Linked DNA regions of Rattus norvegicus. The protein of the gene in region 1 interacts with the protein of each later gene in a biochemical or structural test. Links are inferred from orthologs where the notes say so. Each region holds a gene or a part of one and is shown on either strand. Other genes may lie near its edges. The genes, in order: Esr1, Trim24, Rela, Ncoa7, Safb, Src and Mta1.

The links.
Region 2: the proteins of Esr1 (region 1) and Trim24 form a complex in vitro, tested with the Homo sapiens proteins (4 studies listed by BioGRID). The link is inferred for Rattus norvegicus from reciprocal best matches to the Homo sapiens genes ESR1 and TRIM24.
Region 3: the proteins of Esr1 (region 1) and Rela form a complex in vitro, tested with the Homo sapiens proteins (3 studies listed by BioGRID and IntAct). The link is inferred for Rattus norvegicus from reciprocal best matches to the Homo sapiens genes ESR1 and RELA.
Region 4: the proteins of Esr1 (region 1) and Ncoa7 form a complex in vitro, tested with the Homo sapiens proteins (2 studies listed by BioGRID). The link is inferred for Rattus norvegicus from reciprocal best matches to the Homo sapiens genes ESR1 and NCOA7.
Region 5: the proteins of Esr1 (region 1) and Safb form a complex in vitro, tested with the Homo sapiens proteins (2 studies listed by BioGRID). The link is inferred for Rattus norvegicus from reciprocal best matches to the Homo sapiens genes ESR1 and SAFB.
Region 6: the proteins of Esr1 (region 1) and Src form a complex in vitro, tested with the Homo sapiens proteins (3 studies listed by BioGRID). The link is inferred for Rattus norvegicus from reciprocal best matches to the Homo sapiens genes ESR1 and SRC.
Region 7: the proteins of Esr1 (region 1) and Mta1 form a complex in vitro, tested with the Homo sapiens proteins (4 studies listed by BioGRID). The link is inferred for Rattus norvegicus from reciprocal best matches to the Homo sapiens genes ESR1 and MTA1.

What each region holds. Positions count from the first base shown.
Region 1 is NC_086019.1:43,770,190-43,773,689, reverse strand, and holds part of Esr1 (estrogen receptor), read right to left. Parts: intron 2,976-3,500; coding exon 2,640-2,975; intron 1-2,639.
Region 2 is NC_086022.1:67,642,335-67,645,834, forward strand, and holds part of Trim24 (transcription intermediary factor 1-alpha), read left to right. Parts: intron 1-229; coding exon 230-403; intron 404-2,212; coding exon 2,213-2,348; intron 2,349-3,500. UniProt on the Homo sapiens protein: Transcriptional coactivator that interacts with numerous nuclear receptors and coactivators and modulates the transcription of target genes.
Region 3 is NC_086019.1:212,352,928-212,357,135, reverse strand, and holds the start of Rela (transcription factor p65), read right to left. Parts: upstream 2,801-4,208; 5' UTR 2,740-2,800; coding exon 2,733-2,739; intron 2,147-2,732; coding exon 2,120-2,146; intron 2,029-2,119; coding exon 1,877-2,028; intron 1,722-1,876; coding exon 1,573-1,721; intron 701-1,572; coding exon 609-700; intron 283-608; coding exon 151-282; intron 1-150. UniProt on the Homo sapiens protein: NF-kappa-B is a pleiotropic transcription factor present in almost all cell types and is the endpoint of a series of signal transduction events that are initiated by a vast array of stimuli related to many biological processes such as inflammation, immunity, differentiation, cell growth, tumorigenesis and apoptosis.
Region 4 is NC_086019.1:28,673,178-28,677,458, reverse strand, and holds the start of Ncoa7 (nuclear receptor coactivator 7), read right to left. Parts: upstream 2,801-4,281; 5' UTR 2,377-2,800; intron 1,858-2,376; exon of another isoform or gene 1,595-1,857; intron 1-1,594. UniProt on the Homo sapiens protein: Enhances the transcriptional activities of several nuclear receptors. Involved in the coactivation of different nuclear receptors, such as ESR1, THRB, PPARG and RARA.
Region 5 is NC_086027.1:1,503,269-1,507,456, reverse strand, and holds the start of Safb (scaffold attachment factor B1), read right to left. Parts: upstream 2,801-4,188; 5' UTR 2,707-2,800; coding exon 2,518-2,706; intron 1-2,517. Other genes in the region: Safb2 (scaffold attachment factor B2), read left to right, coding at 3,406-3,576. UniProt on the Homo sapiens protein: Binds to scaffold/matrix attachment region (S/MAR) DNA and forms a molecular assembly point to allow the formation of a 'transcriptosomal' complex (consisting of SR proteins and RNA polymerase II) coupling transcription and RNA processing.
Region 6 is NC_086021.1:166,554,688-166,558,457, forward strand, and holds the end of Src (proto-oncogene tyrosine-protein kinase Src), read left to right. Parts: intron 1-384; coding exon 385-564; intron 565-1,422; coding exon 1,423-1,499; intron 1,500-2,026; coding exon 2,027-2,180; intron 2,181-2,287; coding exon 2,288-2,419; intron 2,420-2,689; coding exon 2,690-2,898; 3' UTR 2,899-3,270; downstream 3,271-3,770. UniProt on the Homo sapiens protein: Non-receptor protein tyrosine kinase which is activated following engagement of many different classes of cellular receptors including immune response receptors, integrins and other adhesion receptors, receptor protein tyrosine kinases, G protein-coupled receptors as well as cytokine receptors.
Region 7 is NC_086024.1:137,998,647-138,002,714, reverse strand, and holds the start of Mta1 (metastasis-associated protein MTA1), read right to left. Parts: upstream 2,801-4,068; 5' UTR 2,704-2,800; coding exon 2,676-2,703; intron 1-2,675. UniProt on the Homo sapiens protein: Transcriptional coregulator which can act as both a transcriptional corepressor and coactivator. Acts as a component of the histone deacetylase NuRD complex which participates in the remodeling of chromatin.

The DNA.
Region 1 (3,500 bases):
CTTTATTGAAGTGTTTTCTTTACCTCCTGTTGTGTACATGTTTTAATTATTTCTTTGGAGAGTACAGTGCAGTTACATCATTTCCCCCAACCTCTGTTTCTGCCCTCCAAGTCCTCCCTAAAAACCACTTTGGCCTCTCTCAAATCCAAATCACATTACTGGTTCCATTGCTGTTGTTCTACCTCGCCATGTTTCTCTTTCCCTTTCTGAAATTGCCATTATTATTCCTAAATTATCATAAATGTGGCATTCCCTATACCAGCTCGTCAGTGTAAACTATCTTTCTAAATGACGGAGGTATTTGGGTATATAAAGTCTTTTGAAAGTAAAATTTTCATTGCAAACTTCCACAGTCATCTTCAGAGTTCATCCTAAGGGCATTAGGTCTGCTCTTCTTTTTTTCATCCTTTTTTTAAATCAGTGGCTATTTTCATTCCATTTCCTCTAGATAAGTAGGCTTTGCACTTACAAAGCTGCATTTTAATGGTACACATACACAGAGAGACAGACAGACAGACAGACAGACAGACAGACAGACAGACAGACAAAGGCAGAAATAGACAAAGAGAAATAGACAGATGGAGAAATGGAGAAACAGAAAGCCTTGTGTCTCTTCATGACAGTGACACATCAGAGGAATGCATGCCTGTGTGGATCTGCTTTTCTCTACAAACTGACCCATGTTAAACACAGACCCACCAACAATGACACCTGCCCTTGCTCTAACCTATAGAACATGCAGGCCTAACTCTATTGACAAGGCCTGTTGTTATGCAAAATGTTGTTACAGGGCACATGACTGTACATAATTGCATTATGATTCTATAATTCCTTTTTCTAAGGGACCAATTCACAAAATATAGTTTAACCCAAAGATATTGGGCCCTCTTGATTAGCGTAAAGAAATTTGAGAGTAGTTTTGTTACATATGTTATCATCACACATGTCTAATGCTGAGTTTAACAATGAATTAGCTAACACGAAAATGGCATCTTTTTAGCCTTGACTTCTATTTTAATCCTAAATTGAGGCTATTTTCTTGAATCTTCCATCAATGAGTAATATAGTTGAACTCGTTCAGACAGAAGCAGAAAGATAAGTTCAGGGCCTGCCTGGACTACCCAGCAAGCGCCCTGACATAAACAACAATAGTAACAACAAAGTATCAATCATAAAATGTTAAGGTGTAACTCTAAAAATAAAGATAAAAATAAAAAAATATGCTTGGGTTCAGCATATACCCACAGTTCGGCTCTGGAACAAGAATTTTCAGGATCTCATAAGGGATATGTTTACAGAATAATAAAAACTTAATAGCAGCCCAGATCTGGTTCTCATGGGTACGGCCATTAAATCTCTTGTGGTTTCTCTTTTTCTTTTCTTTTCTTCTCAAAGTATAAAAACAGACACAAACTTCAAGGAAAAACATATATCCTTATGTAATTCCAATCCTGAGGTATCTGTATCTGCCTCACAAAACAATGCTAAAATATCTAGGTGCTAATTAAAACTTTTAGCTCTTCAGATGGCCAAGAATTTTTGTCCAACAGAACGATTCTCGAAACTTAAATTTGTTCTACGTACCCTACTTACCCAACCACCTAGATGGATGCCCTGTAGTCAGTTTGGTTCAATGGATTGCTGCCTTCTTACTCAAAGAACAGCATGTTTATATGTGGGTTTATGCAAATGCATTAAGATTCCCCAAGGGGAGATCCCCATCAACTCAGACTCTGTCAGTGACTCTGGAAATCAAGGCCCAAAATGCCACATGCATTTTAGTTTTATAAAAATGGATAAAATATCCCACATGTCACAGATCTATTGAAGCCCAAGGAGAAAAAGCTCTATATTTACATCCCCCATTGACTTAATCTGTAAGCCAGAAAACAAGAGTCCACCCTTCTGTTGCTTCGGCACAGACTTCCGCATATGAAATCCATTAGTTGAGGCATGGGACGGTCTTGTTTCCATCATAACTGGAGTCCTTTTCCTTAAACAAGAACACTCAAGAGCCATAAAGGCAGCACTTGAGAGACCAATAAGAGGGGTAGAGCATCGCTCCAGCTTCTGGAACCTTCTAAATGCTCCCTAGGACGTTGTTGGCATTGGTTTGACCACTGTGTCTTTGTTTCTCTGGACATCCCATGCAGGAAACAAGTTGAATAAATAATTGGCATTCTACAAATAAACTATCGGCCTTTAGTGTACGCCAATATTTGGTGAAGGATTACATATGGACAAACTGCCTCTCAATAAAGGTGTTTTGAATGATAGCATTAGAAATAAAAACAATTCCACAGATCCCCAAGCATTAAGTATTTTTAATATGTGATATCTGCATGACAGGACATATATGTGTGTGGTATGTAGTGTTCATCCAAGTCTTTTGAGCAAAGAAGACTGGCCAAAAACAGTATGCCTAAGGTTTTAGTCTGCTGGGTGTTTACTTTTAAATTTTAAAGGCTATTTCCTAGGTATCAAGAGAAATACAGTAGGTTATATTGACAATTGACAAATTCTAATACAGCCTTTTCTCTAATCACATAGCACACTTCTATTTCCCCCCTCACCTTACCACACCCAATTGTTGAAAAGTTATTCACTCTTTCCATGGAAGTGGAGTTTAGCATTCTTACCTGGCACTCTCTTTGCCCAGTTGATCATATGAACCAGCTCCCTGTCTGCCAGGTTGGTCAATAAGCCCATCATTGAGGCTTCACTGAAGGGTCTAGAAGGATCATATTCAGAATAGATCAAAGGTGGTTCAGCATCCAATAAGGCACTGACCATCTGGTCAGCTGTCAAGGACAGGGCGGGGCTATTCTTCTTAGTGTGCTTGATCACAAGTGGACTTGGCCAAAGGTTGGCAGCTCTCATGTCTCCTGAAGTGCCCATTTCATTTCGGCCTTCCAAGTCATCTCTCTGACGCTTGTGCTTCAACATTCTCCCTCCTCGGCGGTCTTTTCGTATCCCTGAAATCACAGAAGGATAAAGAACAAATTTGATTACCTTTTTTGCCTGTCAATCTCAGAACAAGCTCCTGGGAATATAACAATAGAATTTTATGAGTGAGTAGTAGTTGTCTCTAACATACAAGTAATTTTGTGTGCACATGTGTGTCTGTATATATGTATGTATATGAGTATGTGTAAGCATATATATGTATGTGTACACATATATGTATGACACATGTGTATTTATCTGTGCATACATGTCTGTGTTTGTGCACATGTGTATGTGTATGCTTTTGTGTGTGTTTATGTATATTTATATACATATATATGTGTGTATCCGTGTATTATTTTATGTGAACATGTGTGTATATGTGTACATGTGTCTATGTATCTGTGTATGTATTTTATGTGTTTATGTATGTATGTGTGTACATGTATGTATATGTGTACATATGTCTCTGTGTGTACATGTGTGCATGTATGCATATGTATATATGTGTATGTATATGTGAATATATGTGTACATGTGTCTCTGTGTACACT
Region 2 (3,500 bases), on another chromosome or scaffold:
GTTTTTTGGTATATGCTAGTTATTTTTTGCCAGAAAAAAAAGGCTTATTTGTTTTTTGGTATTATTACCACATGTGTGTGTACACACAAAATATGCTTCCCTTTCTCTCTCCCCTGGTTCTTTCCCTTCAAAGGACATTTGAGCTGTAATGATAGACTGTCGCCTCTGTCTTTGATATGTGCAAAGAGGGTCTATTTACATTTCTCATTATTCTGTCTTGGTACCGCAGTGGCAGATCAGCAGTGGACAGGCTACGCCTACAACTGCCAGCAGCTCCTCCTCCACTCCTTCCAGTCCCACGATCACAAGTGCAGCTGGGTACGATGGAAAAGCTTTCAGTTCACCCATGATTGATCTGAGTGCACCAGTGGGAGGGTCTTACAATCTTCCTTCTCTTCCAGATGTAAGTTTATGTAAAATCTGTACTAATAACCTCCTCTGAAAATTGGCAGTAAATGTGGGTTTAGTTTAAGGTATGGGTTTATTGGTTTATCAGCTATTTCTGAAAGCTTAGTTTTATTCTTTAGAAATAAAATGTGAGTAAAATTAGAAATTCTGAACATTTGGACATACAAAGGAATGTTTTCTGGGCTCTGACGTTGAAGATGTTTGCAGAAGATGTGCCATGGAGTCGAGGCTAGGAAGTGAGCTGGAAGGCTAGACTACTGTCCAGAGGAGAGAGTGGGGAGTAAGAGCAGAGCTCAGGTCAGTTCCTGAAGGGTAAGGCGTGCAAAGCTACAGAAAAGGCAGGACACCAGACCTGTCTACTTGAGCATATTAAGAAATATAGTCAATCTTTAGGATCTTTAACTTTGACAAGGGACTTGGAAAGCATCTTTCTAAAGGCAGAAAGTAACAGTGTTGTGTTGCTGGCCTCTGTGTGGGTCTGTGCCTGTACACATATTGTGCCTACATGAATGCTTGATGCCTTTGGAGGCCACAAGAGGGCATCAGATCCCTTGGAACTGGAGTTACAGACTGCTGTGAGCTGCCAGGCGGGTGCTAGGATGAAATCCGAGTTCTCTGGAAAACAACTGATGTTTGGTTTTTTTCCCAACTGCTGAGCTGTCTCTCCAGCCCTGCTTTTTCCTGCCCTGCAAGATTAGGAGGTCTCAGTGTCATGAGACACATACAACCAAGTATGAAACATTTACACTTGTGAAGGTTTTCACACTTTAGTTGGAAGGAATCGTGTATTAGATTAAACTTTTAATTTTGTTTTAATTTTTTTTCAAGTTCAGATCAATTATATTTCCTAATAAGCATATTATTAATCTTACTAGAGTCATTTCAGTTTTTATAGTGCATATATTTTAAACGGGTAGAGCATACTTTTTTCTTGCTCTTATCAGACATAGGAAAATAATTTAAATTAAAAAAAATTGCTTTTAGGATTATTCCACAATATAAATTATTTTTATTACATTAAGAAACCCAGTCCTTTATGCACTGTCCAGAAATTATTGACTAAAGTAGTACCTAAGAATAGTCAAGTACAAATGACCTTGTCTGCTTCCTGTCCCCCAGGCCCCACTACCATAAAAGAGAGAATCCATAGAAAATGAAGTTTCCTTTCTTTTTTTCTGCATTATTTCATTATGTACAGTCTGTACCCTGGCTTTAGGGCACAGTTCTCCTATAGAATCCCAATTGAGAAAGACTACAAAGAACGTGAAGGAATTGTACATGTTCCTGGGAAGTGATTATTTAGGCAGAGGGAGGGAGGGCGGGTGGGCGGGCGCAAGCACGTATGATGTGGTGCATCTGTTCTCAGTATATTTACCATGGGTAGAATATAAAGAGTAAACTTTAATTTCTTGATGGGGAAATCGTCTAACAGAACTTCTTTTGGGTTCTCTTTTTTTTCTTTTTTTCGGAGCTGGGGACCGAACCCAGGGCCTTGCGTTTGCTAGGCAAGCGCTCTACCACTGAGCTAAATCCCCAGCCCCTAACAGAACTTCTAAGTTTGTATTACTTGAGCCCTTAGTCTCTACACTCCAGAGGCAGAAGCCGGCAGATTTATGGTAGTTCCAAGATCAGTCTGGTCAATAAATTGAGTTCCAAGATAGCCAGGGCTGCACAGAGAAGCCTTGTTTCTCTCAACAAACAGGAAAAAGATAGTACTTGGGATCCAAGTTTTCTTGTAAATTTACAGTAGTAGTTTTTAGTTTTCAACATTAATTTGCCCTGAAAAAATTTCTTCTCTTGGAAGATTGATTGTTCAAGTACTATCTTGTTGGACAATATTGCAAGGAAGGATACAAGTGTAGACCCTGGCCAGCCAAGACCTCCATCAAACAGAACCGTGCAGTCACCAAATTCATCAGTGCCGTCTCCAGGCCTGGCAGGTAAGGCCACCTTTTGGATTCGCAAATGTTTTCTGGTTTTTATTTATACTTTTACTCATAATGATTAAAAGTTCCTCTTTGCCTCACTTTTGATGTATTGGGGGTGGTGTCTGCCTCAATTTTTAAATGATGGTTATTGTATCTTGGTTTTATTTTATATATATTTATATGTATTTCCACATCTGTGCCATAGTGCACATGTGGAAGCCAGAGGACAACTTGGAGTTGATTTTTCTCCTTCCTCTAAGAGGGTGCCAGGCTTCAATGCTTAGGTTGTCAGACTTTGTGATAAGGGTTTTAATCCACTGAACCCATTTCACCAACCTGAGTTTTTTATACCATGTAAAACTAGAATTCTTCACAAAGAAGGAAACTTGGGTTCTTTTTTTAGTTTCAGCAAAATTTATTGGCATTACAGCAACCAAAGAGCAAAGTTTTATCACATTGTCATTAATACATTTAGTTGCCTGTATATGGTCTCTTTGAGAATGTAATTTGCCTAGCTTCGCATTTTATTAGTTAGGATACAAAAGAAGAGAGCGGTCTTGGTGGCTTGTGTTTAGCTGTATTTAATGGTGTTTGGTGTAGGGAGGTAAGGCGATGGCTCACTGGACAAGGGCACGCACTGCTCCTGCAGAGGACCATGGCTCTGTTCGCAGCGCCCTCATGCTGGCTCACAACAGCCTGGAAGTTCAGTGCTTGGCCTCCCTGAGTGTTGCATGCACATGGTACACTTACGCGTATGCAGGCAGACCAGTCGAGTCACATAAAAGTCAATCTTTTAAAAAAAAATCATACTTTAATATTCTTAATTGATTGCTATAAGAAACACGGGAAATACTATTCCTGGAGACTTGATATAGCAGGTGTCTCTTGTGTGGCATCCTGGAGAGACATAGACAGATGCATCCAGGTAATGTGCTGGTGACAAGCTAAAGCAAGAATTGCGCTCAGGTCTAGCCTGGAGAATCAGTGAGCTCACCACACCCTGCCAGTGTGGTTGGTAACTCAGCAAAGAGGGCCCCGAGGCTATCTGCACAGTTTGCAGGCCCCTCTAAGAGAGCTCTTCTGTTCCAGCACTTTCCTACATAAATATTCTGACTTTCTGAATCTTGACTTCTTCAGCTTCCTGAATTTTGAAAAATTTCATTA
Region 3 (4,208 bases), about 170 Mb from region 1:
TTCCCATCCAACTCCAGGGCATCCTGCAAGCTTCCCACAGAGGCAGCTCTGGGTCTTCTCTGCCCTGCCCCCTGCAGCAAGGCCACACCCACCCCAGCCCCATTCTCTTCCCAAGCCCACCCTCTCCCCTTACTGCAGCTGGCCACTTACGGTTATCAAAAATCGGATGCGAGAGGACAGGGGTCAGGCGGAGGGGCCTGCCTGATGGGTCCCGCACTGTCACCTGGAAGCAGAGGCGGACCGCATTCAAGTCATAGTCCCCGCGCTGCTCCTCTATGGGAACTGTCAAAAAAAAAAAAAAAGTGGTGGAAGGCATGGGGAGGGCAGGGAGCTCTGAGGGAAGAGGAAGGTGATTTGAGGATATATAAAACAGAAGTCTAAGGGGAGGAAGACAAAATCCTAGACCCATCACGGCTCTACTGGGACCTGAATACACCACCCCTTTCTAGGCCTGACTCTCAACGGTAGCATGTGAGTGTGTACCATGCTGGCAGCGAGGTTCCACTTGTACTGTTGGGTTGGTCATGGAGGGTGAGGAGCGCCAGAGGCCCAGGGAAGGTGGCAGAATGTGCACCACAGGCAGGCTATGTCCTGCCCCTTGCTCCTACCTTGAAAGGGGTTATTGTTGGTCTGGATGCGCTGGCTAATGGCTTGCTCCAGGTCTCGCTTCTTCACACACTGGATCCCCAGGTTCTGGAAGCTGAGGCCTCAGGCATTAGTTCTGTGTCTCCAAAAGAACACCCTCTTCCCACTCCTCAGCTCACAGCTCAAGGCTTCCCACTGTGCTACAATGAACCCACTCCTTACCCACTGGCGAGTCTCTGAGGGACCTGGCCCACACCAGCCCCCAAGTCAGTGTCCTAGCCTCAGCCACAGGGCCTTCCTGTCCCGTCCCTGAGCACACTAAACTTAGTCCCTTTTCCAGGTCACCATACTTCTTTCTTGTGCATGCAATGTTCTTTTGGGCTTGTCTGCTTTTTCTCACCATTTGAGTGTTAGCACAGAGGCCTTCTGCAATCTTCCAACCCAAAGTCATGAGACCTACGTAACAGGACATGGTGCTACGCGCCTATTACCCTTGGAGTTGAGAAGAGGAGGTAGGTGAACCCTCATGAGTGCAAGGCCAGCTTCAGCTATATGAGACTCTGTCCCTATGCCACGAGACCAGCCTCCTCCTCCTTCTAATTTATTACTGTGTTTTCTTTTCATCATGGAAATTATAATTCTCCACTAGTATCTTTTCTATCTGTTTGTACAACTGTCCCCTGGTTTTACCAACTGGTATTTAAGCTCTAGGAGAGTCCATTACGGACTTTCTGATACAAGAGCCTAAGGGACTGGGCTATCCAGTCATAAAGGATCTGTCGCTCCAAGATAAAGAGTTCCCATCTGTTAGCGAATTTAAGACAAAGGGGGTCTGTTTGCAGACCTGGGGACAGAGCAAGGACTCTGGATTCTGCCAGTGTTTAGAAAAGTGTAACTTTGTAACAGCTGCCTGGCCCAGCCTGCTCTTACCCTGCCCCCTACCTACCCTGACCTCACACTACCCCCAGCCTATCTATTCAGACTCACCTGTGGATGCATCGGTCTGGGCAGAGTTCAGCCTCATAGAAGCCATCCCGGCAGTCCTTCCCCACAAGTTCATGTGGATGAGGCCGGTGAGGTGGGTCTTTGGTGACCAGGGAGATTCGAACTGTTCCTGGTCCCGTGTAGCCATTGATCTGTCCAAAGTACAGAGTACTTTAGAGGCCAGCAATCCCAAATCTGGCTCCTAGACACGGGGCGCGGTGGCAAGGAGGCAAGTCTGCTGGGGCTCCACAGTGCCTTCCACCACATCTGTGTCCCCACCCCGACACCCCTGGGGGCTCTTGCTTACCTTGATGGTGGGGTGCGTCTTAGTGGTATCTGTGCTTCTCTCCCCAGGAATACTGCCTGCAGAGCGGCCCTCGCACTTGTAACGGAAACGCATGCCCCGCTGCTTGGGCTGCTCAATGATCTCCACATATGGCCCAGAAGCCTGGGCTGGCTCTGTGGGTGATACGGTCAGCCATTAGGTGCTGCCCCCATGGCCCCTACTCCAGGACAGCCCCTACCTACTGAGGAAGGATGGTCCACTTACCTGAGGGAAAGATGAGGGGAAACAGATCTGAAAGGGAAAGACAAGGCACACTGTCAATAAACTCCAGTACCCACCCTCACCAGGGAATGCCTCCAAAGGAAACTGAGCCAAGATCCTAAGACCTGCCCTGAAAGAGGCCAGGTAAAGAAGGCAAAAGCATCTCTCTACTAGAGAAAAGGGGCACAGAGGTATTCCTTTGCCCGGGGAAACTGAGTCAGAGCCTGTTTTACGTTCATAAGTGACACTGAGGAAGGGTTCTACCCCCTCTCCTTTTCGGGGGATACTGAGTCAGATACTTTCTCCCTTACACGGAAAGGAAGCCAGAACTAATCGCATCGACACAGTGGGTGGGGGGGGGAAGCCGGAGGAAACTGAGTCAAGATTCACCCGTACTCCCACCCAGGAGGGACATTGAGTCAAGGCGCCCTCCACTGAGAGGGGCAACTGAGTCAGACCCCTCGCAGCCCGCCCCGCCCCGTGCCACCATCCGGCCTGCCGCTCCCTGCGCAGCAACCCGCGGCGCAGAAAGGGGCGGAAGACGGCGCGAGGGGGATCCCGCCGCAGGTCCCGGAACTCTAGGGCAGCCGTCCCGCGGGCCAGAGGGCAGCCTCACCGTCCATGGCCAGGGTCCCGGGGGCGGGGCCGGGGTCGCAGCTGAGCCCACGGCGCGCTAAAGCGAAGCCATTCGCCAGAGGCGGAAATGCGCGGCGCGCGCCCGTCGTCGCGTCACTGCCCGGAATCCGGCCGCGCCTGCGCGCTGCGCCGCCGCCACCGACGCGCGTGGGGGCCGAGAGCAGGTGCGCAACTCACGCTGGGCGCGGAAGGTGTGCGGCGCGCGGGCGGGGACACCGGAGCGCGGCGGTAGGACGCCGAGGCTATTCGTCCTGAGGCCCGCCCGACTGCAAGCCGCTCCCGGACTACGCAGCGCGGTTCGCTCCGTGTCCGGGCCCCGCCTGGAGGGCGGGCCCGCGATTACTCACTCTGTTTTTAGGGGATTTCGGGTCCCGTTCCCCGCCCCGCTCTGATCTCAAGAGTTTGGTGATGTCACCCTGGCCTGGTCTGGAGCAGAGCCCGGGCTGCTGGCAGGCTGCGGCCATTCGCCCTGCACAAGGAGAGGCTCAGGCCTGCTGCTTCCGCGGAGCACAGTGACTGAATTCCACACGTTTTCCTACTCGTGCAGGGCCTTCTGGGGACCGCCGCGCGTTACAGGCCATATGCTCCCAACCTAGATCCGGCTGCGCGCAGGAGTGCTTCCCAAAGCATGCTTCATCAAGGCTTGACTGAGGCCTTGGTGTAGAGGGGACCGAGGTAGACACCTGTACCTCTAAGAGTCCCTGAGAGCAATGAATGCTGGAAGAGCTCCAGGGCTTCGCCTCCACAGATAGGTCCTGTCTGCTAAGGTTCAGATCCCTAGGGATCTCCGGAGCTAGCCAGGGTCACACCACTTGAGCATCTCCTTGAAGGCCTCCCAGGAGCCTGAGCTCCAGTGATGAAAGCTTTTGTAGGGAGAGAAAATTGCCATCTAAGCCAAGGGCGGGTGTGCAGATTGAGTCTGGGGACACTGGCTGGAGGAATCAACACATCAGGCTCCCTCCACAATGCCAGAAGGAGGAGGCGGGGTGGGGGGCAGAGGAGGCTTTAGCACATGGAGAAAGACTTATTTTCTCTAAATTAGGAAATCATGTGGGAATTGGAAAAGATTGGAAATTCTGACTTCTTTCCCAGGCTCTGAAAAAAACAGGAAGACAAAAGTGAAAATAGTTACCGCCCCTCCCACTCATTTCAGTTTCTCACTTGGCGCAGATTAGAAAAAGCAGTTTAATGTTTTGCGGGGGCGGACATCAAGGTGACAGAATGAATTATGGTCTCCGATTAATGGCACACAGCCATCATTGATCCTCGCACGAACCACTTTTAAAAACTGACATATAGTTGCAATTTAATTAATATGAACATGAGTGTACTTACTGAAAAATAAGGGCTAGAGATGGCAACTCAGGAAAGTTCTTAACATTGAAGGAAGCTCTGGGTTTGATTCCTAGGTCTAGGATGTTCCAGTCATCCCAGTACTCATGGGGTCAGAAGTTCA
Region 4 (4,281 bases), about 15 Mb from region 1:
AGAGAGAGAGAGAGAAAGAGAGGGGGGGAGGGAGGGAGGGAGGGAGAGAGAGAGAGAGAGAAGAGAAGAGGAGAGGAAGTGAGAAAGAAAATAAATTTGTATCTGTATGATATATGTGAGGTCACTTTGGAACCACAGACGCTTTTAAAGGTTTTCTTTTCATCTTTAGCTTTAATTATATATATACATATATATATATATATATGTGTGTGTGTGTACATATATATATGCATATATATACCACAGCTCAACTTTAAGACAAGTTACCTGTTACTTATTAACCAGATCGCTGCTCCTTCTAAAATAACTTAAGAATTTTCTCTGACCATAAAGTCTGCCTTCTAAATTGTTTTAGAAAGCACAATTGAAACGGTATCGATTGCTATAACACTGGAAAGTGGGCACAAAGTGATCCTAAACAGAGAACTGCCTTCCTTACTGCTGAGGCCAGAAATGTCAATGAAAAAATGACCAAGCTTGGCCTGTTTATAGAAAGAGGCAAGTTTTAAGAATACAGTTAATTGTACTAGCAAATAACAACAACACATACTATAATTTTAAATTATATTGGGTTATATACAATTACCTTGAAATACAATTTTCACTCATTCAACGAATAACAAACAGCTATAAAGCATCCAACACTAGGGAATTACAGAATAGGAAGAGAAGGAGAGGGGCGGAAGAAGGGGAGGAGGGTGAAGGAGGAAGGGGAGAAGGGGAGAGGAAGAAGGGGAGGAGGGGAGAAGAGGAACTGATAATGATGGTGATTCTGTCCTCTTAGTATTTATATTGATTCAGTTCGCCAAAATCCCTAATCTGAAATAGTGCTTACAAAATTGGAATTTACAATGGTCCTTTTTTTCAAAACCCTAAACCTTATTGCTTAATGTAAAATCCAAAACGGCAGCCTGAGAAGTAACAATTTCGATAAAAGCCCCAATCTATGAATTTTACTTCAAGAACAGTGGGGGAAAGACTCAACCAGTTTCTCAGAAAGGCAGGAATCAGCTCAGAGTTGTAGGCGAGGCTGGAGACAAGGCTGCCTCTGCTGGCTAACAGGCACATCTTTCAGAGTCTCAACTCCCCGACACCTGTGTCAAACTTGCAGCTCTCAAACCCGTAGGCTCCCGCCAGCTTAAGGGAACACGCCAGCCTCATCCATCACTTAGGTAATCTGATTTCTGGAAAGACTTTCCTTAAACTGGCACCCAAAATGTTAAAGTCTTCGCACCTCTGACTTTATACACCACTCGGCTAGCTGTAAATTACACAAAAATCCACAACCACTCCTAAATACCTCTAAAACAGCAATCGTGGTCGTCTACATTTTTAGCAAAAAGGAGAGAAAGAACGCATTTGCTGATCCTGCTTTTTTAAAAATGCAATGACACAGTCTACTTGAGCTCGTGAAAAAGGCAACGGTCTCCTCGCAAAGAAGACCAGCGCCAACCTATCCCTCCAAGCTTCCCACAGCCTCCAACCAAGGGTCCCCAGATTGTTGGCGAGGAGGGTCCAGCGGCCCTGCGCCTCGAACGTTCCAAGCAGAGCGTCTGGGGTCCCTCGGGGGCTGCGCCCAGCGCCATTAGCACACCTCGGAGCGCTGGCAGCCCAGGAGGGGGCAAGTTTGGCTGCGGCTGGCAGCCGCTCCGGTTCGTCCGGGCCCCAGCATCAGCAGCCCGTAGCCTCCAAGGCCTGGCCCCGCCTCGGCCACCTACCTACTGGGCGGGGGCGCGGGCTCCGCGGGTCCGGGCGAAGTGGCTCGGGCGCACGCATTTCTGGGAGCCGTGGCCTCTGCCGCCGGGCGCTGGGGAGCGCATCCTCCCGTGTGGGAGGAGGGAAAAGGACGGGGGCAGGGGGGGGGGGGCGGGATCGTTCGCCGAGGAGGAGCGAAGGGAAGCAGCAAGAGGCGGCGAGGAGCGCTCCTGAGGGGTTCCGGAGCGCTGATCTGGCCGGAGCAGCCGCCGCCGGGATGCTCGAAGCCTCGCCCAGGTGCCAGCAGCGGCACCCACGGTCAAGGCACGGGGCACGCACGGAGCGGAAGGCGGGGAGCTGCGGTGGCGCGACGCCCGCCCGGCGCCCGCCTCTAGCTCCGCCCGACCCGGGGCGCGCGCTGCACTGGTCTGCTGCGGCGGGGATCCGGGAGCTCAGAGGCCCGCCCTAGCGGCTCCGGCTGCAGCAGCGGCATCTTGCCTGCCCGGTGCGACCTCCGAGCCGCAGGCTGGAAGCCCCGAGGTGGCTCGGATCCACCCCAAACCTGGGCCCGGCGGCTCCGCCCCAGAGAGATGCGCGCGCGGCCTCCGCAGGCCCGGGCCCTTTGTGACGCCGCCCGAGGCGACGGTCATCTTTTCTGTGAACGGGGAATGGTCTGCTTACCTGGCACTTAATCTCATCCCTCTAGCTGGCTACTGGCTGAATCTTGGAGGGAAGTTAGCGTTTATCCGCACAGCTGGAGGAAGAGCCCCTGTCGGAGCCTTAAAGTCCCTTTCCTTTCCCTTCCAGCGCTAGGACCAGGGGTAACCATAAATTCATCCTCTGTCTTTTCCGGCATTTCCTTTGGCAAAGGGGCCCACCGTCTCCTTTTTCTCCTGTCCCCGGTACAACATCCTATAAGCTGCTAAATTTGATCCTTATAGCCAAGGCAATGCAATGTAGCAATTGGGCAGTCCAGCCGGCTCTTGGTTGGGGCCGGAGAGCAGCTCAGTGGGAAGGTTTTTGCATGAGCCCAGGGGCCTGTTGCTTGTGAGCTTCCAACCTGGACGCTGTTCCCTTTACAGTCCAGTGGCTATCACTGCAAGATGACTCGGAGGATCTGGTTGTGAAGATCACTCTTAAATACAGGAAGAAAAAGTGTGTGTGTGTGTGTGTGTGTGTGTGTGTGTGTGTGTGTGTGTAACTGGTGTGTCCCAAGCCATCAACACACAGTACATAGAGGCCTCCGCAGGTTGCTGCTGCCTCTTGGTACTGCCAGTCTCTCTGGAGGGTGGAGCAAAGCACCGAACCGTCTGCCTTTGAGATTTCAGGAGCAGGTGATGTTACACAGTCGTGCAAATATGAAATCTCTTCCTGGTTTTGCACTCACCATCTATAAATTCTGACATCAGGTTTACGTATTTATGCTTTGAATAGGAGAGACTTCTTGTTCTTTAGACACCTTTTAGTCAAATGATTTAGCCTTTAGCAAAGGAAAAAAAAATGGGTTCCTAAAATATAGACATGATTCTATTTGTATCAAAAGAAAACCATTGCCTGAAGCCTCCAGAGAAATGGTGATGGTCTCACAATTCTTTGATAAGTGCTTTTGTGATTTTGAAATCTAAGCTTAGTAAAAATAAATATCGGAATACACACACACACACACACACACACACACACACACACACACACACACGGGAATGGTGACATAGCCCTGTAACCCCAGCTCTTGGGAGGTGGAGTTAGGAAGTTAAGGAATCCAAGGCCAACCTCAAATGCTAACCTAGGCTGTATAACAAACACCCTGTTTCAAAAAGTAAAGTAAAAGTTTAAAAAGAAAGGAAAAATCATATCAAGTTCACACTTCGATGATAAGATAGCTGACCTTTCCGGGGGGAGGTGGGTAACCCCTAGGAGGTCAGGGTGGAGCAGGGTCTGAGCTGTATTTGGGAGGAGAGGCACGTGATTCAGTTCTGTTCTGAGAATGGCTGGTGAATCTAAAGCCCCAGTTCAGAATGACCTAATTTCGGGAAGGAAGACGTACAGAGTGCTGTTATGGAAAACATCTTGAAATCACTCAGGACAAGAACTTTGCTGTTTGCTTAACCAAGTGTGTGAACCTTGAGTGCAGTCTCTCCAGGAGCTCTTCACTGAGCTGCAGCTACCGTTTCCTACTCTTTAACTCCATCAGCACCCCTTTGTGCCTAATCCCAAGGGTTCTGTCGGGAAGTAAAATAAGCCTTGGTTTCTTTTCTCTTAGGCAAAAGTATAACTGAGTATGTGTTTAAAGGGGTGACTTGCTGATGCAGTGTTCCAGAGCTTTTCCAAAGCAATGGCAAACAACGGCACTGTCTTCATTGGCTCCCCTGGGATTACATGATGGATTGCATGCAACTTATAGCTTGTCACTACAGTGAAAGTCTGAACAGAACAGGGGCTGGTGCTCCCATGGCTGGGGGTGAGTTGCTTCTAATTTAAAGATTTGTCGGTCATTCTCTTTTGTGACTGAGTATTGACCAATTTATCTGAGTCTTGTCTTCACACAGAAATCAGAATTAACGTCATCTACATCTTCATTATCCAGTA
Region 5 (4,188 bases), on another chromosome or scaffold:
ATGAGACACCTTCTAGCAGCAGCATGCCTTTCACCCTGGGGATGTTTGCAAGTTTACAGTCCCCAGAGAGAAGGCAGCAGCAGCAGTGCCCTCAGAACTCCAAGCTCAGGCAACTCTTCCAGACCCCCAGGGGCTTCCTGTAGTGTTCCAATAGGGAACCAGAGACAAGCCCACAAGGTGAGTCAGCTTTCAGACATCCCAAGGGGCAGGAGCAAGCTGTAGAAAGGTAATTCGTTTTATCCCTTGGGGCTAAGAGACAGAACTGTCCCTCCCAGGCCACCTCAGCAAACCCCCTTCAACAGCTGCTCCTCCACACCACCTCCCTTAAAAAAAAAAGTCAACCAGATGGCCACCAGCTGGGTGACAAGCAGGCAGAAGGACAGGACTGCAGATCTGCCCTCTGATCTGATAGACATACAGGGGTGTTGAGTGGGGGCAAGCACAGACCAGGGTCTCTCTACACCCCCAAGGGGACAAAGAAGACAACATCCAGAAGCCGACCCTCAGCTTCCAGTCTGGAGAAAGAGAGCTTGGTGCTGCAGCCAGGGCCTCGATAGCAGACTGAGCATCACCCTAGTAACCCCCCCCACCCTATATGTTCTATAGGGGTCACCAGTGTAAGAAGCTTCTTGCCCATTCCAATAAAAAGATGTAGTATCCATTAAAACACACACACACACACACACAAAAACAGAAAAGGAGCTGGCTGACGTTCAGTGTAGTGTGCCTGCCCTGGCCTCTAACTGCTGCATCCACTCTCACAAGCATGTATGTTATGTGCTCAAATAAACACTGTACACATCCACAGGGTAGAAGACAGAAGGCAACCTCAACTGTCTTTCAGGTACCATCCATCGTGGTTAGACTAGTCAGCCAGTGAGCCTCAGGGATCCTCCTGTCTCTCTGAGCACTGGAATTACAGCTGTACCCCACCTGGCATTTATTGTGGGTGCTGGGAACAGAACTCAGGCTTTCATCTTGCTGCCACCTCTTCTTGTCCATTATCTGAATAGCAACTGGTGATTGGTTTTGGACCCATTAAGAAGGTGAAATCTCGGGGTTGGGGATTTAGCTCAGTGGTAGAGCGCTTGCCTAGGAAGCGCAAGGCCCTGGGTTCGGTCCCCAGCTCAAAAAAAAAAAAAAAAAAAAAAAAAAAGGTGAAATCTCCAGCTTCTGTGTGCAGGGGCAATTAGGCAGATGCCAACGACCAAAAGCTAGAGGGTAATACACACAGAGTACACTTTCTAAGGTGGGGCTCAAGAGTCCTCATCTACACATGTCAAAAGGTGGCCTTGAGGAGAGTAAGCTTGTTTACCTGGACTAAGCTGCATGCCAAACCAGGGTCCATGTGATGTCCTCCCTACCCTAAAGATGACCCACTACTGCCTTGATCTGAGGACACACAGAGAGTTTAAAGGTCTTCCTGAACAGAGAATCTAGGCCACCAAAGAAGGTAACAAAAATGAGCCTCTCTGTCTGCCCCTGGATCTCAGACTGAGGCTAAGTCCTCTGACTCCCACCTAACCACACAGAATGGTGTGCAGCAGTGTGGAGGGATGGCTCCAAGGACCTCTGCAATGTTGGGCAAGCATTGATCTATGTGCCTAGCCCTCTTTTTACAGAGACAAAACAAAAACCTACTACTTTTTACAGAAAGGCTCTCATGCATCCCAAGATGGTCACAAACTTAGGATCCTTCTGCCCCCACCACTCCCAGCCTTAGGAGGTATTTGGGATAAAATTTAAGGGTTTTGTGTATGCAAGGCAAGCACACTACCAAATGACTAGGCCTTGGAGCCTACTTTATACTTTGAAACAGGCTTGCTAAGTTGCCTAGGTTTGTCTCACAACTCTCACTTCCTGTCCCTTAGAGGGTGTCTGGTTTGGGACACCCTCTAGCTAGCCCTGAACTCCACTACTCAGGTTGGTTATAAACTCCTCTATAGCCCAGGTTAGCCTTTAACTCACATCTGAGATATCTTTACCAACAGAAAGACCTTCTTTCCTTCCATCTCACATCTTTACCCTAGTTTAGTTCTAGCAAAGAATTAGAAACAATTTATTTTTCGGCTTTCCCCCCCTCCCTTCCTGGGCTACCTACCTCCTCTGGCTGTCTATGAGCTCTGAGGGTTCCTCAGATTTCATTCCCCTACAGGCCACTGTCTCTCCAGAAAAGAATAGAAAACAAAAACCACCTGTTCTGCCTCGGGAGCCGAAAAGGGACTTGGGATCGAATCCTGCCACAAGCTGACTCTGCTGGGTGACCTTGGCCGAGTCTCCTCCATCCCCCTTTAGGGTTGGGGCTAAGCAGTACAGGGAACGCGATGTCATCGATCCCTCGAACCCGTTCACGGTGTTATTTCCTTCTGGGCGCATCACTGCGGCGTCGGGATTCGAACCCTCATACCCCGCGCCCACGGAGCCCGAGTGTTAGCGCACGGCACGAAGGCCACGGGCCGCTCCAGGCCAGGCGGTGGGTGTCGCCATGGCGACCGTGGGGTCCCCCGCGAACCTCACCTTCTTAAGCCGCTCCATCAGCACGCTCTTGTTGCCGCTCGAGTCGAGGTTTCGCTTCCGCAGCTCCGCCCGCAGGTCGATCACCCGCAGGTCGCTGAGCCGCCGCGTCCCGGTCTCTGACGCCGCGGAGCTCACGGCCGCTGCGCTTGCCGCACCCGAGTCTCCTAAACCCGACAGAGTCTCCGCCATTCCAGGGACCCTGGTTCCGTCGCCCACTTCACACAGAACCGGGTCAGTGGGCTTGCGTGGGTGTGTTTTTTGGATTTGTTATTATTTTTTTTTTTGAATCTCGGCCCTCTTACCACAAAATGGCGCCGCCTGAGAGGGAACCGCTTCAGCCTCCCCTGAGGTGCACCTCGACACTGCGCAGGCGCCGCCGGCGCGAGACGGACGCTCTCAGACGCCTCTACACAAGCGCCGTGAGCGCGTCGTTAGAGAAGGCGCAGGCGCATCTCTCCGGCTCTCCCTTGTCCACGGACCACGACGCATGCGTGCAACAGGTCATGCGCCTGCGCATTGAGGGGAAAACGACAAATCGGTGTCCGAGCACCGTTGAGCGGTGGCGTGCGCAACGGAGAAGCGCTACAAGATGCAAATCAGGGCTGTGACCATTAGACGCTTCAAAGCGATGCGCGTGCGCATAAAAAGAGGGGCTGGGCTTACGACCGGTTGCGCATGTGCATTTGTACCACCGAGGCTAGAGACTGCTTTGGTGTGCGACCTAGGAGGTGCGTCAGAGCCGTGCGCCTGCGCAGCCGCAATGAGAGGCGGGAGGAAACCAGTGCGTTTTCCTCTAAGGCGGCGCCATTTTGTACTCAGAGCCTCTGCAGCCGGGGGCAGCGAGTGTAGGAGGTTCCGGAGCGGGGTTGGGAAGTCACGGAAGCGAGAATGGCAGAACCTGTGACCGGGTCGGGCGACCCGGCTTTTAGTCCGGTCGCTTCGGATAGTGGGATGCGGCGGCTCAGCGACCTGCGGGTGATCGACCTGAGGGCGGAGCTGAAGAAGCGGAACCTGGATACAGGAGGCAACAAGAGTGTGTTGATGGAGCGGCTGAAGAAGGTGAGGGAATGCGGTTGGCGCCGTTCGCCCGAGCACGTAACTGGTTTATCAGAGTCGGGCGGGGTTTCCTACCTCGAGACCCCATTTTGGTCTGTGCTGTCAGCCACCGAGGGAGCCGAGGCTATGTGACCTTGGCCAGCCGCTATCCCTCTCTGTGCCTTGCTTCCCATTTGCCCTGGGGTTTGCAAGAAGCGAGGCAATAGGGTGGCCCTGGGCACTTCTCTATGACCTTGCATCTGCAGCTGTCTTTTCTGCCACCTCAGTTTACTGTTCTGGAGAATTTGTCAGTCAACCCCATGGTTGGGTCTGCTCAGTGCCTCTGCACAGACCATGCTCACTCCCAGTTCTGGTCCTCTTGCACTTCCCTGGCCTGGAGCCTAGGTGTCATCTTGAGTCAGCATGAGATGTCACTGTCCTGCCCTAGAGAAGTCTCGTTTAGTGCACTTGACAACAAAGTTGTCTTCGTGGAATAGGGTCCTTGAGAGTTAGGGCCTTCTGGTTGGCTGCAAGTGGAAGGAGCCAAATACTTTTAATGAAAATTTGCCAGCTTGCTTTCTTCCCCAGCCTGTGTTCTGTTTTTCTTTGTCAAAAATCAGTGCCTCCCCCCATGAG
Region 6 (3,770 bases), on another chromosome or scaffold:
CCTGTCTAATGCAGCCCAGGTGCTGAGCTGACCTCTTGTCCACTGTGACCTCAGACACAGCCCTCCCTCTCCACTGAGCCATGTTCTGGTTGCTGGTGCCTGGAGCACTGACCGCCCACCCATCAGGCTGCCTTCTTCCTGGCAGCATTCCTAATCAATCAACATCCTAGTAACAGTTACTGTTCATGAGCAGACTCCAGCCCCGGGAGGGGTCGCCATTCCTAAGTGGGAATAGAGTCTCAGTGTAGTGTCTGGCCTTGCCCGGGCCCATGCCATGAGTTCAGAGGCAGGGATTGAGACAGACACCCATATGGGCTAGCCTGGGTGGTCCCAGTGTGACATAATGGTGGCCTGTGCTGATGTTGCTATGCCCCTCCCCCACAGGGACCTGGAACGGCACCACGAGGGTTGCCATCAAAACCCTGAAGCCAGGCACCATGTCTCCAGAGGCCTTCCTGCAGGAGGCCCAAGTCATGAAGAAACTGAGGCATGAGAAGCTGGTGCAGCTGTATGCCGTGGTGTCAGAAGAACCCATTTACATTGTGACAGAGTACATGAACAAGGGTAAGGTCTGAGCCCAGGCTGACCTCTGCTCAGATGCCCGCACGGCAGACTGAGGGTAACTTATTCCTTACCCCAAACCAACCAGATGAGTGGACAGCTGTGTCAGGGACTGCCTCTCTCCTTTCGTAAAGAATAACAAATCAACTATTTTTTCCCCTAAAAGACGTTTCTTTTGTCCCTTACCACTGACAGGATCCCTGTTGTTGCTGGTGTGATGGCACACACCTATAATCTCAGTGCCCATGGCTCTGAGGCAGGAGGATCTTGAGTTTGAGGCCAGGCCGGGTACATAGCAAGACTGTCTCTGTCTTGGCAAACAGCGGTGTGGGGCTGGGGGTGTAGCTCGGTTGGGAGAGTGCTTGCCTGGCATGCACAAGGCCCTGGGTTTGACCTTAGGTGTGATCTCCAGTACCACAAGGCTAGGCATAAGACACAGACCTGTAATCCCAGCCCAGGGGACGTAGAGACAGGAGGATCCAGAGTTCGAGGTCGGCCTCCGTTGCACCTTGAGTTGGTTTATGTGAGACCCTGTCTCAGAACAAAACCATGTATAGCGTCCACATTACCCCAGAGTTCTCTGCTGGACTTAGTGATGTGACTCAGCCCCAGCCCCAGGTAGCCACTGGCTCTCCGGTGCGGCCCTGATAAAGCAGTTTCTCTCGGGCTTTACACATAATCTCTTGCATCTTACAACCCCTGTTGTGTTGTCTGCCTGACCGCCTCCCTACCCGCCTTACCACAAGTCCTTGCTCTAACTCCCTGCAGTGTTGGCCTTTGAGCAGGGGGCCAGGTTCTGGGAGCCACAGTTTCCTGCACAGGGAGACTTAGACAAGGCTAGAGCTGGGTCTCTCTCTCCAGGGAGTCTGCTGGACTTTCTCAAGGGGGAAACGGGCAAATACTTGCGGCTACCCCAGCTGGTGGACATGTCTGCTCAGGTGAGTCTCCTCCTCCACCTTCCTCCACCCTTAGCTCTCGAGACCAGAGCGCCCCCTTCAGGAGATCTGCCTTCATTACACCAGAGTCTCACCTTGCAGGTGCCTGGGGTGGTACCTGGGAGTCAGAGGGGCACAAACACGTAATGAAGAATAAAAATAAAACATTAAAAGTTTAAAATGTACTACTTCCATTTGCTAGATGAGGAAACCGAGGCTCAGAGAGGGGACTTAGGACAACAGGCAGGATCTAGCACGCCCCTGTGTCTGTGGGGCCTCCTTTTTTATATACTCACCTGCCCCCCTGGCTGCGTCTTATTGTGACCTCCCATTGTCCTTTGCTCTCCCCTCCCCCACTGAGCTCCGGTCTACTTTTCAAGCCAGCGCTGTTTATTTTAAGCTGAATGAAGTTCCTTGCTTGAACAGACACAGGCTAGGCAGGGTGTTTGAGTGACCAGCCCGAGGCACCTGCTCACAGCACAGGGATGGGTGTGGTTAGCCCCTGAGCCAGGCTCTCTCCGTCTTTACAGATTGCTTCAGGCATGGCCTATGTGGAGCGGATGAACTATGTGCACCGGGACCTCCGAGCCGCCAATATCCTGGTTGGCGAGAACCTGGTGTGCAAAGTGGCCGACTTTGGGCTGGCCCGGCTCATAGAGGACAACGAATACACAGCTCGGCAAGGTGGGAGTGCCTGGCGGTTATCTGATGGTATCGGTCTGTCAGGTGGGAGTGAGAGCAATGCCCCTGCAGCAGACTGGTATCGATAGCCTGTGCTTTCTTGCTTGTAGGTGCCAAATTCCCCATCAAGTGGACCGCCCCTGAAGCGGCTCTGTATGGCAGGTTCACCATCAAGTCGGACGTGTGGTCCTTTGGAATCCTGCTGACTGAGCTCACCACTAAGGGCAGAGTGCCCTATCCTGGTGAGGAGCCTGTACCTGTGCCCCTGACCTTGGCCCTAGGGCAAGCCTCACCACCACCACCCCAATGCTCCCCCACATCACCCACCCCTGGGCTTCCTCTTTCTAGGCTGGATGTGTCTGTCAAAGAGGCTGATCTCTGATCACAGGCTGCCTCTGGTCAGGACTCTTAGCCTCCAAGGCAGTGTTCTGTACAGCATAGGGTAAAAGTGGTCTAGGCTGTGCCAGTCTCTGGAGCCATCTCCTCATAGCCCTCTCTCTGTTTGTTCATAGGGATGGTGAACCGAGAGGTGCTGGACCAGGTAGAGCGGGGCTACCGGATGCCTTGTCCCCCCGAGTGCCCTGAGTCCCTGCATGACCTCATGTGCCAGTGCTGGCGGAAGGAGCCTGAGGAGCGGCCCACCTTCGAGTACCTGCAGGCCTTCCTGGAGGACTACTTTACGTCCACGGAGCCGCAGTACCAGCCCGGGGAGAACCTATAGGAACTGTGTGCACAGAACTGTCACCTCTAGGCTTTTGGGTGTCGCCTCCCTTCATCCTCTCTCTGGGGCTGAGTTCCTCTGCAATGCCCCTTTTGGAGCATGGAAGGGCTTCAGGGACGGGGCAGCCTGGAAGGACAGGTTGAGGCTGGTACAGCGACTGTCCCACGCCTGCCATGGCCACAGGCTCTCTGTGCATTCTCTCTGGAGTCGGCCTGCTTCATACTGGGTGACGAGCCGAGCTGGGGGCGGTTTTCCAACCTCAACCCACTCTACCCACCTGGCTCCTCCCCACTTTCTAAACCCTGGGTCTGTTTCAAGCTGGCCAAAGAGCCTTTCCAAAGAGGAATAAGGCCCAGCCCTTGGCCTATATGTACTAACTGCCCCTGGTCATCCTTGTTGGAGGCTTCTGGGTGGAACATTGGGTCTAGAACCCTCTCCCATGGCTCTCAGGCTAGACAGCCCAAGACCCAACACCAGTTGGGATAAGTGTCAGAGTGAGCACTCCCTCAGCCCTGTCCTCACCAAGGACCCTTGAGATCACCAACACATTACCCTCATTTCTCTGTTGGAAAAACTGAATCCAGGAGGGGCTGGGACCTGTCCAAGACCACGGGCAGTTTCGGGTTGAGGTGGGCTTGGCACCTGGTGCTCCCTCTGTCTTCCTCAGGAACTAACGAGAGCTGTCCTCCAAGGGAGTGGGCAGGCTGAGGCCCGAGAGTGGCTTCAAGTTGTCAGGGTTCTGCTCTCACTGATGCTCATGGGTCTATCATGGGGGAAGAGGCAAGCAGGAGGCTGAGCCCGGCGTGAGGGGTAGGAAATGACGGTGTGGAAGAGGTGCGTCACAATGCAGCTGGGCTTTGACCTTAAGAGCT
Region 7 (4,068 bases), on another chromosome or scaffold:
CCCAGCCCAGTCCACCCTGACAAGGCTTCCAGACAAGCTTGCCAGAGAATACAGGACGCCCAACATTGTGTTCCAAGTCACAGTCCTCAGTGTCCACATGGCCTCCACAGCTGGGACACACTCACACTAGGGCACGGCAGTTTTCCTGAAATCTAAACCTGACTGGGCATCCTGTACTTTTCTCTGCTGCATGTGCCAAGAGGGTAGGGCAGGGGGAGAGAAATCCCAACCTAGGTCCCCACCAGTCACTCCTCTGAACGGATTTCCCAGGGGGCCAGAGCCCAGACAACAGACTGAACCAAGGCCTGCTCAGAGAGCCACAGTGTGTCCTCTCGTCTGGGGGCCTGAGAATCTGGCAAGCAGTGACTGGGGCAGGAAGCCAACAGCCAACACCCAGAGCACCACCGCAAGGCCCTGCTGGGACTCCCAGGATGGCACTAGAGTTCTCTATCCAAAAGGCCTATAGGGGCTGAGCCTTCATCTGCCATAGATACCCTCCGGGGACTGCTACACTGCAAGGCACTCCAGGCAATACAGGTGGGACCCCAGACCATGCTTGCCAGCTAACATACACAGAAATACAGACCTATCCCTGCTCCCACCATACATAAGCAGAGGCTCAGGGTCCAGCCACCTACCCTCATGGGACCTCGGACAGGCCAGGACACCAGTTATGCCCTGGAGGAGCAGCCGCAGGACACAGGATGAAAAAAGGGTGGATCCCTAGCCATGCCGTGGGCAAACAGATACAAGTGAGCCAAAGTCTGGGACCTCCTTCCCAGCCTGCTAGGGCCCTGGCTACAGCCCTGTCAGGCTGGCAGGCAGCTGTGGGACTCTTAGAAACGGGCTGAGAACCCAGTGTCCTGCAGGCCATCTTCCTCGCTCTCACCACCTCCCACTGCCTGAGTCCGATGCAGGAGCCCAGACCTCTACTTCTGCTATTCATTCATTTCTTCAACACATCATATGCCATCATGGGCCAGAAACGCTGTGAACTGGGGGTGCAGGTGGGGGTGGCTCAGTGGTCAGGGTCCTACACAGAAGTGGTGACAGGTGTTCCTAGGTGGTCTCCCACTCCAAAACACACTCATGGCAGAGCCCAATTTTGCTAGTGGGGGAGCAGAGACTCATCTACATTTAGGCTGTGACCAGAAGGAGGGTCTCTAAATCCAGAGAAAGAACAGAGCCAGGGACCGGGATAATGGGAGCCTTTCACAGGCAAAGGAGGACCTTTGAAATGAGGGAAGCAGAGGTAGAGGCTGAGGGAGCAGCACTTCACAGTGAACAGGAAGGGGGGATCTGAATGCAAAAATGGTTTCCCCAGGCACAGTAAGGGGCAGCACCTGGGAAAAGGCCACCTGGGGTGCCAGGAGCAAAGCAGAGACACCCCTGCCCCCCCCCCCCCCCCCCCCGAAAGCGGGCCAGAAAGCTTACAGGATCCAGTGCTGTGGCCCACTCCCTCCGGGACTGGCAAGACTGAAACATCAAGGACCAGCCCCTCCTCACAGGGCCTCAACACCCTAGGCTGTGCCCTGTAGCAGGAGAGGGACTGCTGTGGGTGGGTGGATGACCCATCTGCGTGCCCAAAGCCACAGAACTGAGCTGGCTGGGTCCCGCTGGTGTGAGATGGAAGGAAAAGACCTAGGCACTTGGAGGGTCAGGGTCACCCGCAGGAGTGGTGACGGGTGTTTCTGGGTGGTCTCCCACTCCTGCACACACACAGCAGGGCCCAACATTGCTAGTGGGGGAGCAGGGACCCATCCACGTTTAGGCTGTGACCAGAAGGAGGGTCTCCAAGTCCACAAAGAGCAGAAGGCTATGGGATGAAGTAACTGTAAGGGTCAGCATGGACTGGATGTGTGCAAGGCCATCCCAGAGTGTCCTGGTCATACACACAAACTGGGGGAAGGGCTGCCTAGGGCCCAACAACAGGGGGTCCAGCCCGGGCAGAAAGGCCCTCATGGCCCCAGGTCAGTAGGGACCTCTGGCCTTCCAAAGGCTAGTAAAGTGCCTCCTTTGCTAGGCTAGGGTGAGCAGTAGGGCAGAGAAAAGTTTGGGGTGACTCAGACCTGCACTTGGGATGTAGGCCCCCTGCAGTAGCCAACCCCCCCTCCCAGGAATCCCTGCTAAGGAAAGCCCCTCGGTCCGGGCGAGCTTGTGGCCCCTGCAACAAGGTTCCCGGTGCCTGCACACCTAGCGGGTTCAGTGCGGCCCCAGAGGAGACCGCTCGCCCCCCGACCCCCAAACTCCTGCTCGCGGGACCGCAGCCAGAGCTCCAGAGGCACGTGCTCCTGCTCAGGGGCTCCGGCCCGGACCCAGGCCCAGGCCTCGCGCCGCCGGGCCCGCCGGCCACGGGGATGCCCTGGCCACTCGCCGCTACTCCGCGGGCCACCCCCGGCCCCCAACAGGTGGGCATAGCCCCCTCCCAGCGCCGCTCTTCCCCCCGCGCGCGCGCGCCCCGGCACCGGCGGCCCAGGGGCCATTTTGGGCCGGGACGAGCACCGAAGACCAGAACCGAGCCTCGCGGGCGGGGCGCGAGCGCGACGGGGGCGGGACGGGGGGGAGGGGCGCGGGCCGCGCGCGAGGGCGGCGTGGGGGAGGCGCGGAGGCCGCGGCGGGGCCGGGAGGCGCGGGCGGCGGGCCCGCGGCGCATAAAGGCCGTGGCGGGGCCTTACCTCCGACCCTGTACATGTTGGCGGCCATGTCCGGGCCGGCGGCGGGGCCGCGGGGCGCGGGGCGCGGGCGCGGGCGGCGGGCCGGGCGCGGGCCGGGGCGGGGGCGGGCGCGGGGGCGCCGGCGGGCGGTTTAAAGGGACCGCGCTGCTCCGCCGCCGCCGCCGCCGCCGCCTCCGAGGCCGCCGAGGCCGCGCAGGGACGGGAGGGCCGCGGCGCGGGCGGGAGAGGAAGAGGAGGAGCGGCCGCGGGCGGCGGGGAGGGGCCTCGGGCGCCGCCGCCCACCGCGCGGGCCGTTACCCGACCCCGCGCCGCGCCGGCCCGCGCGCCCCTGGCCGAGTGGCCCTTCTGAGCCCTTCGCTCGTCTGGTCCTCGGCATCCCCTGATCGCCCTCCCACGACCCCTCCCGCCTATCTCTCAGCATCCCGGGGTGGCCATCGCCTGGCCCTGGCATCCCGGGTGGCCCTCCTGTATCCTCTCCAAAGTGGTCCTCAACATCCCCGTGTGGCTCTCCCACCTGGCCCGCAGCATCCAGCTACTCATCCCGGGAGGTTCTTCGAAGCCTCCGCTGGAGTGGCCCTTGGCATCCCCAGGTGGTCCTCAGGAGGCCCACACCCTGTTTCCCTAGGAAGTACTCCTGCAACCTGTCCAGAGTGGCCCTAGACATCACTGATGGCTCTTCTGCCACCCCTCCGGAATGATACTTGGCTTCCTCCAGTGGCATTCTCCAGGCCCAAGCCTGCCTGGACCTCAGCACCCGTTGGGTGACCGGTCTTTAACCCTCAGTATTCCTCAGATCCCTGGATGGCCCTCTTATATGGTCTTTCGCATACCTGGGAGGCTCTCCCAGCCCCCCAAATGACTCTTGGCATTCTCCAGGTGTCCTCTCCAGGCCCATTCCCTCCTGACCCTCAGCACCCATGGGTGACCCTCCCAAGCCCCATGCCCACCTAGTCTTCTGCAACCCAGGTGACCTCCAGAGAACAACTTCCTGAATGACCCTCAGCACACCTGATTGATCTCACAAACCTGTTGAGGTGAGCCCTCCTAGGGCTCCTTGGGAGTTGCTTACAAAGTACCCTTGAGTCCTTCTTGTGTGAGCCCTTCCCTTCACCCATCAAGTCTTGTAAGGGTCCTCAGTGTGTCCCTCATCTTTCAGCATCAGTTGACGAAGGCCCCTCTTTGTAGCATTTAGAAGCATTTGTGACTATGGGCTTGCCTTTGTGCTTGTCTAAGATTTGTGAAGAGTGGAGTGCTTAGAAATGACCTGGAGGCCAGAGGACAAAAGGTGGTGTCCCTGATGGAAATCCTGGCCCTGCCACAATTGGGGGAGTCAGGAGGAGCTGATTGGGGGCCCTGCTTGAGCCTGAGCACTGTGAGTTGCTTTGACAATGGA